2 linked regions of the Drosophila melanogaster genome follow. The protein of the gene in region 1 interacts with the protein of each later gene in a pairwise test. Each region holds a gene or a part of one and is shown on either strand. Other genes may lie near its edges.

Evidence for each region.
Region 2: the proteins of phr (region 1) and Tango9 interact in a two-hybrid assay, tested with the Drosophila melanogaster proteins (one large-scale study listed by BioGRID).

Annotation. Positions count from the first base shown.
Region 1 is NT_033778.4:7,822,375-7,830,091, forward strand, and holds phr (photorepair), read left to right. Parts: upstream 1-2,914; 5' UTR 2,915-3,129; coding exon 3,130-3,171; exon of another isoform or gene 3,172-3,225; coding exon 3,226-4,497; intron 4,498-4,559; coding exon 4,560-4,913; 3' UTR 4,914-4,945; downstream 4,946-7,717. Other genes in the region: cathD (cathepsin D), read right to left, coding at 1-111, 175-1,092; CG30383 (uncharacterized protein), read right to left, coding at 1,752-2,084, 2,318-2,749; Prosalpha1 (proteasome alpha1 subunit), read right to left, coding at 5,027-5,508, 5,797-5,973, 6,036-6,111; CG18853 (uncharacterized protein), read left to right, coding at 6,820-6,881, 6,972-7,158, 7,218-7,607, 7,670-7,717.
Region 2 is NT_033777.3:11,968,722-11,978,025, forward strand, and holds Tango9 (transport and golgi organization 9), read right to left. Parts: upstream 6,190-9,304; 5' UTR 5,893-6,189; coding exon 5,825-5,892; intron 5,737-5,824; coding exon 5,589-5,736; intron 5,507-5,588; coding exon 5,353-5,506; intron 5,292-5,352; coding exon 4,516-5,291; 3' UTR 4,148-4,515; coding exon of another isoform or gene 3,379-4,147; 3' UTR 3,308-3,378; coding exon of another isoform or gene 3,173-3,307; 3' UTR 3,111-3,172; coding exon of another isoform or gene 3,055-3,110; 3' UTR 2,455-3,054; coding exon of another isoform or gene 2,310-2,454; 3' UTR 2,286-2,309; downstream 1-2,285. Other genes in the region: GC1 (glutamate carrier 1), read left to right, coding at 497-555, 1,374-1,508, 1,567-2,052, 2,113-2,253, 2,310-2,454; GC2 (glutamate carrier 2), read left to right, coding at 3,055-3,110, 3,173-3,307, 3,379-4,147; CG10005 (uncharacterized protein), read right to left, coding at 6,795-6,993, 7,378-7,774, 8,268-8,367.

The sequences.
Region 1 (7,717 bases):
CATCTGGGCCACACGGAGAATATAGTCCTTGCCCTCGAGCTCGAAGGTCTTTCCGCCCAGCACAAACTTGATTACCGGCAATTGGGGAATGAGATCGCAAGAAACCACATACTAAAGTAAGAAATTAAGAGGATTAGCAGTGCTTCATGTGAGAACTTAGAGCATGGTACTCACCTGACCACCGATGATGGGAGTTCCACCAATCTTCTGGTTAATAGAGGTGGCCTCTTCCAAGGGCGCAGCAATTAGTGAGGTACCGGTGTCAGCGATCACCTGGCAACCGCCCTTGCACAGCTGCAAATCGCCAATGGAGGCGGCATCCATCTTGATTTGCCAGTAGGCCTTGCGGGTAACGGGCAAGTAGGTGAATTCACCAGTGTAGTGGTTGGGATCGGAGCCGCCAAAGATGATCTCACCGCCCTCGGGCGAGGCGGGATCGCGATTCAGGTAGAATGAGAACACCGGAGCGGAGATCAAACCCTGTTCGTACATGGCGTAAAATGGCGGCTTCACCTTGTCCACCGAGATGGAGTTGTAGCCCAGGCCTAGGATGCCGTCGAACTTGGCAGCTACGAAGACCAGGCCCGGCTCACTGAGCGCCTCAGCGAATGTCTGATCCTTGATGTCCAGGCCGGCAATGGACACCGTATCCGTGGACAGGTATCCGGACAAGCTGCCCGAGCCATACTGGATGGCGAACTCAGTGCCGTTCTTGGTGTAGGTCTTCGACTTGGAGGCATCGTACTTGTTGTGCATCAAACAGGCGATGTTGGTCAGGTGGCACTTCTTGGACGGCACCCACAAGTTCGAGGAGCCGGTGTCGAAAACCACACGGAAGTTCTGCGGTGGCGAGCCAATGGCAATGGGCCCATAGTACTGCGCGTCCATATAGTTGGACAGCGGTTCCGGCACATCACCTCCGCCGTACCTAATGCGCAATTGCTGCAGCTCCGTGCCCACATCCGCAAAGTGCCGGCGGGCCGACTGAAATTTGTGGAGCGGTACGCGCAGCAATCCGGGCTTCTCCTGCGAATTTGGGTGGGCCACGGCCGCAGCCAGGAAGGCGACTAGAAGCAGTGCAACCTTCTGCATTTTGATTTCTATGTTACGCTTCTCTGGTGGCTAAAACTGCAATGATCGCTGCAGTTAATTAAATATTGCGGCACAGCGAAAATGATTCAGCACAGATAATGTACTAAATTTGGCTTGGCGCGTCGTTTTGATTAGAGAGATTCGATAGTTTTTGTTGTAAACTAATGCAATTCTTTAATTTTCGGAATGTTTCTTTTTAATATTTCGCGTTTATGTATATATAATACAAATGTATCATTATTTCTACACATTTAGGAAGAGCTTGTATCATGACTACGATCTTACTTTAGAGACAATAAGGGAAAGCTAAAAAAGTATTTCCCATCTTTCATTTTTAAACGCTTTTATGAGCAAACAATTAACAATTATGATGAGCAACCTTAATGTATTAATTGATAATATAGATAACAATCGTAAGGAGCGGGTCGAAGCTGAATTTCGAATCTTTACTTGTATATATAAATTCTAATAAATTCATGATAACATGGAATTATATATTAAAATATGAATAGTAAGTTGTATTTTGAGCTTAAATGGTTCAAAAATATTACAAAAATAGTCTTCTTATAGTCACCTAAAATCCAGAGAAATAATTTTATACTATTGATTAAAATGAAATAAAAGTATTAAATATAGATAAAAGATATAGCTAATCCTTTCTAGTACTTTTTACAATCACTTATTACTCGACAAAGTTTGGATTTGACCTTAGCACAGACATCCAAATCGGAGATTAGGTCATCAATGTTCGTTCGGAACGGAGTAACTCTAGCAGTATCCTCGAATGACTGTTTGGCGCGCCGCATTCTTTCGTGAATCTCACTCATATCGAGCATCTTTCCAATAGAAAGCTCATGGTTGGTGGACAACAGTACCGAGAACAGAACGGCGGACTCCATGGAGACTTTGCTTCGATACCCAACGCAGGTTTTCTGCTCCATTTCATCGCTTTCCATGAGCACGGTTTGGCATCTTTTCAGGGAATCGCCTTTCTATAAAAATCGAGCAAAAATTAATATCATACTATTGGATTAAGAGAGTAAGAGATATAAGATTATAATGTGATGTGTAAGTGCCCGGATAACTGCATAAGGATAGATTAAATTAAATTAAAAAAAGGGTACTTATTGTTTATTAACGAAAGCAATTTTAAGTAAATACATTCATATTTATGCATGTACATAGTAAATTGGCATCAAAATTATTCGCCGACAGATATGCTTACCTTAATCTTCTTGATATCTTCAGGTTGGATAAAATGTTTCTGGCGCTGGACTACAAATCGAGCTGCAAGGTCACAATCCGGAGTGTACTGGTAGCCTTGGGCAACGCGCCTGAAGAATGGATGCAGATCCAGAAGCTTAAGGCGTTTTTGGGCCATCTCCGAAAGCTGATAGGTGTCCAGTTGGGGCAGAACTTCGGTTAGGAATAAATGGCACACTTCCTTGGCAGTGAGATCCCTGAAAGCCTCGTTCCTGGTGTTCCACTCCTTCCAGGCTGAAGCATCCTGGATGTAAAACAGACGGCACGACGCAACAGCGTAGTCGATCAACTCCCTGTGGATCGATTGTTCAGCATCGTGCAAAAGCGTAGATCGAGCAATACGGCCGATATTGGCATTAAATTCCGCTTCGTCCACAGTTTCGTCCATTTTCATTCCCAATATAAAACATTTTATTATAAAACAGTAAAGAATCGGTTTAATTTCAACGTGCGCTTTCAGATCTGCACTCTTTTTGTAATCGATAACTGCTGTGTATCGTATGCGGCACTGAGACTATTGAAATCTTAGGGAATGTTTAGGAAATAGGAACATCTGGAGTTAAATGTATTTCAAAACCGAAAGCCACAACTTTCCTTAAAATATTATGCCAAAAAAAAATCTACTAATATAAATTTAAACATAATACTTAATTCTTTATTTATGTTAATTCATAATAATTTCTCTTCCAAGGGAAGTGTATTTGGAGTGCGGCTACTAGCATAATTTTCACTCTCATTGAACAGCTGATAGAGTCGCCATATCGTTATACAGTTATGTTTACACTTGCTTCATATTGGCGCGAATCATTCAAGATTGTGGGTTAAATCGAATTAGTAAAAATCAAATCACGATTTTTCATTCATGTTCAGGTTCTTCCGCTGCAGGCGATGAAGCGTACGAAGGCGCAGAAGGCAGGTCCTTCCAAAAAGGCAGCAAAAAACGAGAAGGCCAGCTCCGAGCCCAAAAGTGACCAGGAAAGCAGCGATGAGGAGGCCTCCACATCGAAGGCTTTGTTGGTTTCTAAGCCGGATTACCAAAACTTCGAGCAGTTTCTTACCCACTTGGAACACCAGCGAGTCTGCACGGCAGCCAACATACAGGAGTTCTCTTTTCGAAAGAAACGAGTGCGCGTTCTGTCCAAAACCGAAGATGTAAAGGAATCCAGCCTAGGCGGCGTCGTCTACTGGATGTCCCGCGACGGGCGCGTACAGGACAACTGGGCCCTGCTCTTTGCCCAGCGTCTGGCTCTCAAGCTGGAATTACCCTTAACTGTGGTATTTTGCCTAGTTCCCAAATTCCTGAATGCCACTATCAGGCACTACAAATTCATGATGGGCGGCCTGCAGGAGGTGGAGCAGCAGTGTCGCGCCCTTGACATACCGTTTCACCTGCTGATGGGCTCCGCTGTTGAAAAGTTACCACAATTTGTGAAATCCAAGGACATCGGAGCCGTAGTCTGTGACTTTGCTCCGCTGCGTTTGCCACGCCAATGGGTCGAGGATGTGGGCAAGGCACTGCCCAAGAGCGTGCCGTTGGTGCAAGTCGATGCTCACAATGTAGTCCCCTTGTGGGTGGCCTCCGACAAACAGGAGTACGCTGCGCGTACCATCCGCAACAAGATCAACTCCAAGCTAGGGGAGTACCTCAGCGTATTCCCACCAGTTGTGCGGCATCCTCATGGAACTGGCTGCAAGAATGTGAATACCGTGGACTGGTCAGCTGCTTATGCTTCGCTGCAGTGCGACATGGAAGTGGACGAGGTGCAGTGGGCCAAGCCGGGGTATAAAGCAGCCTGCCAGCAGCTCTACGAGTTCTGCAGTCGTCGTTTGCGCCATTTCAATGACAAACGAAACGATCCCACGGCAGACGCCTTGTCCGGACTCTCGCCGTGGCTGCACTTTGGTCATATTTCGGCTCAGCGCTGTGCACTGGAGGTGCAGCGGTTTCGAGGACAACACAAAGCCTCGGCGGATGCGTTTTGCGAGGAGGCCATTGTGCGCCGCGAACTGGCGGATAACTTTTGCTTCTACAACGAGCACTATGATAGTCTTAAAGGTCTAAGTTCTTGGGCATATCAAACGCTAGATGCACATCGCAAGGACAAGCGAGATCCCTGCTACAGCTTAGAAGAACTAGAAAAGGTTCACCACGGATTCTTTTTCTTTTGATTTGAGACTAAAATGATTTTATAATTTTTTCCTAGTCTCTCACTTATGACGACCTGTGGAACTCGGCGCAACTGCAGCTGGTACGCGAGGGAAAGATGCACGGCTTTTTGCGCATGTACTGGGCCAAAAAGATTCTGGAATGGACAGCGACACCGGAGCATGCGTTGGAGTACGCAATCCTGCTGAACGACAAGTACAGTCTGGATGGTCGCGACCCCAACGGCTATGTGGGCTGCATGTGGTCCATTGGCGGCGTCCATGACATGGGCTGGAAGGAGCGGGCTATCTTCGGTAAGGTTAGGTACATGAACTATCAGGGATGCCGTCGCAAATTCGATGTAAATGCCTTTGTCATGCGATACGGCGGTAAGGTGCACAAGAAGAAATAAAACGTTTTCGGATTTGCCTTTGTTTTGAATGCAAGCCAAGAGCATTTTTTATTTAACCATAGATCCAAGAGGCTTTATAAAATATGACAAAATTACAGCTAGCGGGACAGAACTTAGTCCTTCTCGGCGATCTTGGTGAGGTGTTCCTCGATCTCCCGCTCATCCAAAATACGGAAAGTGGGATCAGACTTGCTGACCACGCCGATCTCAATGCCGTTCGGCTTGAAGTCTATAGCGAGCACACTGGACAGACAGGAGATGGCCAGCTGGATCGCTTTCTCCTCCGACAAGTTGGGCTTGTACTTCTTTTCCAGATAGCTGTTGGCCTCCAGAGTCTTGGCACCCACGCTGCAGGCCTTGAACCCGCTGAAGTAGCCAGCCGGGTCCGTCTTGTAAACGCTGGGGCCGATTTCATTGTCGTAAGCGATCAGCACCATGCTGCAGCCGAGCGGACGCATCTCGGCATTCTGCGTGTACACCTGGTTGATATCCGCAATTCGACGACACAGCACATCCACGGGCATTTCGTAGCCGTACTTGTAGCGGAAGTTGGCGGCCTCGTATCTGGCCTTCTGCACCTGTGAGCGGGAATCAGCTAGGGGAGAGAAATAATTTTAAGTATTTAGTGACACTCTTGGGTTGATATGTCCTCTTTTCTAGTTGAAGCACCGTGTGAAAACTACGTTTAAAATGGCTCCACGCTATACGCCTTTGCCCTAATGTCTGGCAGGCTATTTCTTCTGATTTTAGCACAATCATAAGTGAATCGCTACTTGGTTACATGGGACATATCAACAATGGGATAACTCTGTGCTAACTCGACTGGAATTTGACTCGAATCACGCCGGGATAAACAAGAATTTAAAGTATCTATGGTTCATACCTATGCGTCCGGTCATTGCGCATCCAATGTCCTTGGTGATGCGGAACAGGTGGGTCACCGTTTCAGGCACGATGTTCTTCTCGGTCACTTTTTTTTGGGTGGCCACCACGGCACAGTCGCCACTCTTCAGCGCCACCGTGGTGATGTTCTCCTGGGCAATAGCCTTGAAGGCGTACTCTGGCGGGGAAATGAGAATGTCAGACTGGATACAATGGAGCCGCAAGTGCCAGGATACTAACCCACTTGGTAGAGGCGTCCCTCCGGAGAGAAGATCGTGATGTGTCTGTCAAAGCCGGCTGAACTTCCGCGAGACATGATGCTTTCTTCGTGCTTCGATAGCTGCAATAGACAACGCCGGTTAAAATTCAGTTCTCAAGTCTGCCGCAAGCAACACACCTTTTGAACAATTAAAATTTACAAATTTGTATATAGCAGGGAAAATGTCGCTTCAAATCGAACCTACTGTGCAAAATTCAGATTGTCATTCTCAGCCCGAAAATGAACCTAAAAAATACCAAAAAGAAACGCGCGCTGGGATATATCGTTTATCATTGAAATCGAATATTTGGAAAAAGCCAAAATAGTGTTAAGCTACGCTTACAAAATGTTTAAATTATTCCTATTTTTATTTGTGAATTATTGTAAATTAGTCAACATAGAGCAAAGGGATTTGTAAAAAAAAATATTAACAAACATATGTAAATTGAAGACAAAACTTTTACTGCTCAGTAACGTTATCTTATATAATTTTTGTTGAGGCTTACAACGTTATTTCTTAAGAAAATGTTTGTAAAAAAAGCTATTGAGCGCAAGCTAAATCTAACTGGAATTAAGGCAGTTGGCCGTAACTAAGCACAGGTGAACCTATCGACAATCGATAACGTCGCGGTGCCGTGCGTAAGTGATGGCCAACTCTAGCTGGATGTAACCATTGAGAATCGAGGTAAATATTGGTCAATAACAGCGGAGAACGCTGCAATTGCGGATTATTTGGGAGTCAAGTGCGCGTTGCCGGCAGCGAAAATGCACGAGGATGATCTGAAGAGTCAGTTGACCATCGCGCGGAACGAGATCAACAATCTCAGGTGCGTTTGAGACAGGCAAATTGCCATGAGTGTCCTTTTGCTACTGGTATAGTTCAAGTTCACACCGATTTTGCCTTGACCATGATGCAGGCAGCAAGTGCGCAACCTGCAGCATGTGCAGCGCAAGGACATTGAGACGATAACCCGCCTGCTGCAGGACTTCCGCTGCGAGGGGTGTGCGAACAACAACAAAAGCGCCAAGGACAAGGTCGCCGGCGAGAAGCAGGAGCACCAGCACCAACAGCAGACGCAGGACCAGCAGACGGGCCAAGGTCAGGTGCGTTTGACCCTCCCACACACTGAAAGACACATACAAACCTCGCACCCAATCCTTAGAGCAATTATACCAATGGTGGGCACTGCTTGGGAGAGGACTACGCACACTTTCGGCCCATAGGAGTGATCCGGACAGCATTCCCAGAGAAGCGGGCCGTGCCGAGGCAGTCAATTGTGGGCAGTCGCCTGCGGGGTATCATCCAACTGAACGACGGTGTGTTCACCAATCCGGAGCACTCCTTGGAGGGACTAGAGGACTTTTCCCATCTGTGGCTCATCTATCATTTTCACCGCAACAATTCCCACCCCAAGGCCAAGGCGGATAACTTTTGCTTCTACAACGAGCACTATGATAGTCTTAAAGGTCTAAGTTCTTGGGCATATCAAACGCTAGATGCACATCGCAAGGACAAGCGAGATCCCTGCTACAGCTTAGAAGAACTAGAAAAGGTTCACCACGGATTCTTTTTCTTTTGATTTGAGACTAAAATGATTTTATAATTTTTTCCTAGTCTCTCACTTATGACGACCTGTGGAACTCGGCGCAACTGCAGCTGGTA
Region 2 (9,304 bases), on another chromosome or scaffold:
CGCCAACCTATATTAAGTATTCGCCCATATGATATAAACACCCAACAGCATTATCAGTTGTTTAACTTACATGAGTGTAAACATTTATGGTTCGGTTATTGTTCGCTCATTTCATTAAGCAATCAAAACATTAACCATAATTTATATAGATATGTACAATCTTAATTGGGTATTTCTATACTGCCTGACAACCAAAAATTGTATTGTTTGATAAATTCCACCGGTTAGCATCGAAAAAGAACTTTTCAAATATACATATATATTATATGCGTATATTAAAATAATCCAACAGATATATCAGTTGTTTGAGATAAAGAAATATACATACATATGTACTTATTGTTTAAGTTATTATTGGAAGTAATATAATATAATTTTCTCTATATTTTTATTGTTTTGTTACAAATTATAAAAAAACTAGTTTGTACCAATTCTTTGTTTGCTCATCATATATAGCATATGTGTATATCTTTAATGGTTGTGTGTATTTCGCAGAATGTCGAGCAGTGCAACCATCGCAACGCCGCTGCCGCAGCCGCAGCACCAGCAATTCGCGTAAGTTATCAATAAACATTTCAATTAGCCTGTGTAATTTAATCTTAAAGACAAACAAACATATTTGCTTTACAAAACCTATTTTTGCACGGCCAAACCAAACAAAATCACCTGGGAATTATATTAACAAAGGTAGCGCAAAGGGTTCATTTGTGTAATAAATATTATGATTAATAGCTATTCAACTCAAAAATAATAAAGTCTAAGTTCTTGGTTTTAAAGTTAGTTTCCCTTAGCCAATATCCACTGTATTTGAGTTTATCATCGTTAAAGACTCGTCACATGAATAGACATTTATACACATTTCATTTTCAAGTGCTTTGCCCTCAGCCATCAGACAGTTTTCCCCCTTCAACCCACATTTCCCTCAAATAGTTGCAATAAAACTAGGACAAATCGGAAGAGAAGGATAGCAGTACTATGACATAATATGATTGCATTTTGCACTTTGTTTTTCTTCTGGTCGATTGTTTAAAAAGAAATGCAAGCCGAAAATAGAAGCAAGCTAAGACTAGATAGTACTATTATAACCAATCACACATAAGTATGTATGTTTCCTTGGCAGTGCGCCAAATATTTCTTCCTTATTAATGATCAACACATTTGACCTTTTCTCTGCTTTAATTGTATGTTCAATAGTAGTCTCTTAGGAGCCCTGATTGTATATGTGGGCCAAGTTCAAAGCCAATAAGACTATTGTTTACATTTTGTTGTTGCACAGCGCGAATGCAAAGTTAGCGCAGTGCAAATATTTGTCAATTAGCCAAGCATAATGAGATAGCGTCAATTGCCAACGATTTAATTCCTTCTATTTGCAGCCTGCTGCCGAAGATCATTAACGGCGGAATTGCGGGAATCATCGGAGTGACATGCGTCTTCCCACTGGACTTGGTCAAGACGAGGCTGCAAAACCAGCAGATCGGACCCAATGGCGAACGCATGTACAACAGCATGTGAGTAAAGGCAAGCATGAATCTCTAGATGGCTTTATAATTTGAAATACCTTCGTAGGTTCGATTGCTTCCGCAAGACGTACAAGGCCGAAGGATACTTTGGCATGTACCGCGGCTCTGGCGTGAACATCCTGCTAATCACACCTGAGAAGGCCATCAAGTTGACCGCCAACGATTACTTCCGCCACAAGCTGACCACCAAGGATGGCAAACTTCCGCTGACCAGTCAGATGGTTGCCGGCGGTCTGGCCGGTGCATTCCAAATTATCGTCACCACGCCCATGGAGCTTCTCAAGATCCAGATGCAGGATGCGGGTCGCGTGGCGGCGGCGGCCAAATTGGCTGGCAAGACGGTGGAGAAGGTGTCGGCCACCCAATTGGCTTCCCAGCTTATCAAGGACAAGGGCATCTTTGGCCTGTACAAGGGTATCGGTGCCACAGGACTGCGAGATGTCACCTTCTCTATCATTTACTTCCCCCTTTTCGCTACTCTCAATGACCTGGGTCCACGACGAAACGATGGATCTGGCGAGGCTGTGTTCTGGTAAGTAAAGCATAATTGTCTATTTGTCATTTTTATATTTATTTTATGCTAATTAAATAGGTGCTCCTTCCTGGCGGGCTTGGCGGCCGGTTCCACCGCTGCCCTCGCAGTTAATCCCTTCGACGTGGTCAAGACGCGTCTGCAGGCGATTAAGAAGGCCGACGGTGAGAAGGAGTTCAAGGGCATATCAGATTGTATCACGTGAGTTCAAGAAATGTTGCCAATATATCCTTAAACTCATATAAATTCTCCAATAGTAAGACACTGAAGCACGAGGGACCCACCGCCTTCTTCAAGGGCGGCCTGTGCCGAATGATTGTGATTGCTCCTCTGTTCGGAATCGCTCAAACGGTCTACTATCTGGGCGTGGCCGAGGGCCTGCTGGGCTATCAGAAAAAGTAGGGCGGCTTGGAATGAGTGCGCGCCAAGGCGGATTGACAAGACCGAAGCATTTTAAATGTACTCTCTTTGAATATTGAATGTGTATGTATATCGTGTTTAAATGTTGTTAAAGCTGTCCATGAATGTAATCGTGAAGTCTCTATAGTAAGCTAAAGTAATCGAACGATGCGCCAGCCAGCGAAGTTGTTAAAGTTTTCCCCAATCCTCTTAAACTACTCAAACGATGTACTACATATGTATTTAGACCATGTCAGAAGATAACTGATGCTCCAATGACAATAAGATAAAGCAAATTAATCGCTGATATAATGTACATTTTTGGTTAATATCATAGTCTATAACTGTTGTGTTTGGATACTCTCTCTATTTAGTCTTTATTTCCCGAGCAATCCGCAGCTAGCCATGAACGTTCTGCATCAAATTGTATTAGTAATGCATTTTTCTTTGCTGCCAGGCGAAATTTACTTTTAGTGGCATTCAAGAACATGACTAGAGAAATTGTATGCTTTATAAAAACCGTCAGAATTGAACTAACGAAATATACTAATGTAAATTCAAAATTTTCGTACAACATTAATTATTTCTTGGCCTATAAAAAAAATGTTGGAACAAGTTGAGCAAAAGAACCAAGAGCAAAAAAAACCACAAAAGTTTAAGTTAATAAGTTCTACCATATGGTTAATACTACAACCTATACTTAATTGCGAACCCATCACAGCGTTTTTCCGAAAATTATAAATGGCGGCGTCGCCGGTATTATTGGAGTGGCATGCGTCTATCCACTGGACATGGTTAAGACGCGACTGCAAAACCAAACAATAGGTCCCAATGGAGAGCGCATGTACACCAGCATGTGAGTTTTGGGTTTTCGGTTTGGGTTGTGTTTTGTTATTATCCGCCTAATGGAGAACTCTATTGCCTTAGCGCCGACTGTTTCCGAAAGACTATCGCCAGCGAAGGCTATTTTGGAATGTACAGAGGCTCAGCGGTGAACATCGTGCTGATTACGCCCGAGAAAGCCATCAAGTTGACCGCCAACGACTTCTTTCGGTATCATCTGGCATCCGATGACGGGGTTATTCCGTTGTCACGGGCTACTTTGGCCGGGGGCCTGGCCGGGCTATTCCAGATCGTGGTCACCACGCCCATGGAGCTCCTCAAGATACAGATGCAGGACGCCGGGCGGGTGGCTGCTGCCGACCGAGCGGCAGGACGAGAGGTGAAAACTATAACGGCCTTGGGTCTGACCAAGACGCTCCTTCGTGAGCGTGGAATCTTCGGTTTATACAAGGGTGTGGGCGCCACTGGAGTGCGGGATATTACGTTCTCGATGGTGTACTTTCCGCTAATGGCCTGGATAAATGACCAGGGGCCACGCAAGTCAGATGGTTCTGGGGAAGCGGTCTTCTACTGGTCTCTGATAGCTGGACTCTTGTCTGGCATGACTTCTGCCTTTATGGTCACCCCTTTTGATGTGGTCAAGACTCGACTGCAGGCCGATGGCGAGAAGAAGTTCAAAGGCATCATGGACTGTGTAAATAGGACCCTTAAGGAAGAGGGCATAAGTGCATTCTTTAAGGGCGGTCTATGTCGGATAATGGTGCTAGCTCCACTATTTGGTATCGCGCAAATGTTTTATTTTTTGGGTGTGGGCGAGAAGATTCTGGGCATCGAGCGAACGAAATCTGTGTAACTTATAATTAAAGGTCTCTTCCCCCCCCTCATATTAATAAGAATTTTTTTATCCCCGAGTCGATTAAGCCATGTCCGTTTTATCCGTCCGTCTTCTACACAAGCTAGTTCCCCAGGTTTGAAGCTATCTGTATGAAACTTTCCCAAATTGGACGGCTACATCATAGAGGAATTATCCTATATAAACCAATATTTAGAATTTAATGAAATGAAATGACTTCTAGGAGCTCAATTAACATTTAATGTGTGTATTTTCTTATTGCATCTATACATATAATCGATAAGTAATCTTCAAGAATCAGCCCAGGGTTGATTTGCAGCCCATCTCTCTCATCACAATCCTTTCACCTCAGCTACTCCTCAGTCACCTTAGATCACATCCGCTGGCCGGCTGTTCGGAGCAGCCGCATTCTCAGTACCCAAATCCACGTAACGAGCACGATACCAGCGGGCCACTGCAGCTCGATACCAGTCGAGGAATAGGGCCTGTCGGTAGAGGATGATACCCATTTGCAGGATGAGGAAGCCCATGATCGTGACCAGATTCATGTACTCCCACTCCATGATAATCACAAACACCCAGATGAAGTAAACGCGTAGGCCATCGGCCAGAAGCCGGTTGGCGCTGGACGAGTACATCGCAATGTACAGTCCAATGAAGTTGTACATGGCACATGAGATGGTGAAGGCAATCAGAGTCATAATCAATGAGATACTCCCCTGCAGAGCCGCAAAGAGATCACCCCAATCGTCGAAAACTGCACGCGAACTACAGCTAAATGGATCAATGCTCGGCAGGAAGTTCATGCAAATGGCCAGCATCGAGGTGATGCCCAAGCCGAAGATTCCCTGCCAGCCAGCAGCTTGCAGTGGAGCAACATTCGAGGTTTTTAGCTGTTTCTCCTCGCAAACATATTGCAGTCCGTGCAGAATTTCAGCAATGATGATGAGTAAGTCGCCGGTCAGAATGGATTTGTAGTCCGTGTAAGGCAACGTGACCAGGTCGTATTCAACGCGATGGACGTCCAGACTGATAATGTCCAGCAGGCCGCACGATATCGTAAAGATGGCCAGCCAGTGCCGTCCGGTCAGCGTGTGATTCAGAAACATGGTGCTAAAGATGCCCACAAAGATCAGGGCGGCGCCTGCGGGAAAGATGAGGCGACGTAAGTAATGATAAGCAAGGCCACTGTCTGATAGAAGTACCTCTTATCATCTGAAAGCTGGTGGCGTAAGTCAAGTAAAGTCCGGTGAACAACAGAATGGAGGCTGCCGCATCCAGCAAAGTGGGCAATAGCATGCTAACAGGGCGGAACTCACTGCTGTCCTGCGACAAGATGCTATCCAGATCGGATATAACCTGTGTATGATTGCCAGATGATTAAAAGTTCCTTAAATACAAAAGCTTTGCCGATTATAAACCAACCGGCATTGGAACTTACTCCACGACGATTGGAGATCAGGCGGATCACCTTGAAGACCGCAAAGCACAGGAACTCGCCCAGGAACATGAGCAGTGTGAACACCACTGGATGTTGAAATCCATGAAGTTTTCCATCGCTGCCGATTACCTGTTGTTGATTGGCCCACCTGCAATGCGTACACGCACACACAGCATCGAGTGCACATTTATTTAGCACTATTACTTACTATTATTAAGCGATCTTTTGGTACTCACTTCACCACCAGAACGTTGAAGGTGCCGCTGAGCACAAAGATCAGCGACAGGAAAACACGATGATCCATTCGTCGGCGGAAGATTCACTTGACGGGTGCAGCGTTAATTCGATTTATAAATATTGACGTTCTTTGTGCAATTTGCAATTGTGACTGCGCAGTGATAAGTGCAAAAAAGTGCGGCCAGACGGTCAATTGACTGCCCTTCCACAGATCTATATAATCCACTTGAGTTGTTGTGGTCATTAACCAGTAACTTTACCTTTTTCAAGGTCAAAAACCTAAGTAACTAGTAATTTTTTTGCAAGTAGTGCGAATTAGTTTGTCTTTACGGGACTTTTGTTTATTTTTTTTCGCCAACAGTGAGACCGCACAGGCTAGCAAAAATACTACACAAAATATAGTGAGCAGGAAATCAACAACGAATATGGTCACACTACAAAGCAACTGGTGGGTTTTAAATTGGCGCGTGAAATTATATTTTGAAATTAAAACTGAATCGACACCAAAATGCTTATGGATTTAATATTAGGGAAAGTGTCACATAAAACTTCGTTGACGATCTTTGGGACTTTACAAATTGTATAAATATTTCAACAGAAAAATGGATTACTTTTGCCAAGTTTTTATTAAACACAAACTTAAAAAATATCACAGGATATGAAAAACCATTTAAATGAAAATACATGAAGTGGTGTTAATGCATTTGCCGCACAATTGCCATCAATTTGCTTCCGTTGGCGCCTGCGTCGCATTCTGTGCTAATTTCCTGTAAATAATTCAATATTATAATATAGTATAGGATCGCAAAATCGATATTTAGCAAACATTAGCAAGCAAAAACACAGTTGGCAACCAAAGCGTGTCCTGTCGCCTCACCTGTACTCTGTGGTGTTTCTTTAAGTGTTGTGATAATGTCTTTGAGTATCTTGTGTTCTATTTAAGTATCGTTTCGTGGAGTGTAGGTGTTCCTAGAGCTCATCTCGCGCCTGGGAGGACGATGGCAGCGTCACCTCCTCCACGGAGCCCAGGTGTATGGTTCTATTTGGCCGACTGAACTTTGGTATGTATGCGACCGAGTCGCTGTTGCTGACCACCGAGTTATGTAGGTGTTCCGTGGGTGCCGCGGGATCAGGACTTGTGAGTGTGATTTTCGAACCAGTGGCCACTCTGTGGAATGCATGTATGTGGGCGGGTATTGTACTGGTGGTGTGACAAGTGGACTAAATAATTCGGATAAATATTCGAATATCCTATGAGTACCTATCTGGGCCGTAACTGATTGTTGTGTACCAAAGTTAGTTATGTATGGTTAGTATAGCGCTACTTGGCTGGTATTAGATTTTGGGGGTATAGCAAAAAAACTGGTCATCTCTCTTGTACCTTATGTACAGCTTTTGGAGGTGATTGTAGTCGAAGAGGAAAGATCTAGATTGGTTGAAAAGATCTATTGGCGCTGGCGGGCTCCACCGCGTGCTCCGCGCAACTTTTGTGGGTTTCTAATGCAGATCAGAGATCGTAATCAGAGATTCGGACTCAGATCCGCCACCTTACCTGTCCCTGGCCTGCATGCTGGCCTCCACGTCCAGGTTGCGAGGCTGCCGGAAGTCGCATTCCAGCGAGAAGGCCGAATCTCCGGGTGTGATCAGCTCTGGGTCGTTTTGGATCACCACGATGTTGGTGTAGAGATCACCATCCCGGATCGTCTGGCACTGGTCCAGCTGGAAGTTCATCTCCATTGTGCGGGATCCCTGGCTGGAAGATGGCTTCATGAAGCACGGCGCAGACTGCTTGTAGAAGCTGCCACGAGTGTACATCACACCCATGAAAGGCTTCTCCGTCTCCAGCACCACGTTCATGGAGTCCGCTCCGCACTTGAGGTTAACCTTTTGAATGCCCTGGTCGCTGCCCTCGATTTTAAAGGTGTCCGAAAGGTCTTGTTCCCAGATTTCTGCAATAGGGCGAAACAATTTCATGCTTGACATTAAAGGTGGTTTATGTAACACGTTTCTATGCTATTAAGTAAAAATATCTGCTTCTTTTGCTTTTTAATGTAATGTTGTACGTTTAGTAAACTAGGTATAATTGTTCCAATTAAAAAAATGCAAGTAACTAAACATAAAAGCCTGCTTAAGTTCTTCAACTTTCTTTAAGCATTTATAGACTATAACTCTCCTTTTCTTTTGTTGGCCACTTTTAAGTGCTTTCTTCGCGTAAGTAACCGTTAGAACCACCTGAGCCTACCATTTCTGTGCACCTTATCCACCGAACCGTTGAAGTTCACTCATCTCTCAGATAGCCGGCATTGCTGGTAACCGGTTTCTGTTTATTTTGGTCTGGCTAGAACAGCGCGCAGCAAAAGAACTTGGCATTGGGAATTTCTTCGCCCAACCTGGATGATTCAGTCACGTTGTTCTCTTGCTGACCCAAGTCGACGATCTTACCTTGGTTTTGATTTTTCTGCTGCTTATTGGCAGATACGTGCACAGCCAACAGCAAATTGCAGGCGAACAAAAGCAGAAAGCCATTCATTAATCCCGACATATTACTGCACTTTATTATTATTTAATACAAAACGATTTAAAGTTATAGCGAGTTTCCTGACTCTCGTAGATATCTTCACAGCTGCAAGCCAAGATTCAAACTGACGAAGCAAATGCGGCTGCGCAGCGCATATAAGCGCGACTCAAAAACTCCACTCACCACAGGCGATGAAAGAAAACTGGAAATATGACTCGACTTAAGAGAGGAAGAGTCGACTCCACAGAGAGTCGGTGAGAATTTGGTCAATAGCAGAGCATGAAAACAGTTAATTGCACTGCGCTTTTGATAAGGCGAAAATTTATTGGCAGCGCCGATGGAAAACCAAAACGAATCCATAAGTATAGACATATTGAGTACCCATCAAAATGATGTACATATATGTAATTATTTAAAAATTCTACAAAAAGATTTAGATTCCTTTTCTGGAAACCAAAAACATTTATTTAAATTAAATTAATTAATTAATTAAGTAGATACGAAATTCTTTTGACAATATCTAGCTTTGTAATGTTTTAGAACTCTTAAAACAATAAATATTTGACGAATTTTTTAAGTAAATCTTAAAACGATAAACTACATTTTTCCAGGGTATAAATATTTATTTAAAGCGGCACTTTAAGGAAAACAAAATGCGGCATCGCTCCAAAGACATTTCCGCTTTTCGCGTGTGGCATGTGGATTTCTGCTGCGGTGCATTCGTTTCGCATTTTTAGCGCTGCATTCAACCGATTTTTTTTGGTTGCCGTTCATTATTCAAAATGTTATTAAACTTCCCCGTTTTTTTGCGACTGGCTATGCTCTCGACTTTGGTTCTCCTTCATGCAACGAATTTAATAATTTGAGCAGTGGTTTTCATCTTGAGGTTGGTTTTTATTTTCTTCGTTAGTTTTCCACCGGCATTTGTTGTTGCTTACGTCTTTTGTTATACGTTTATTGC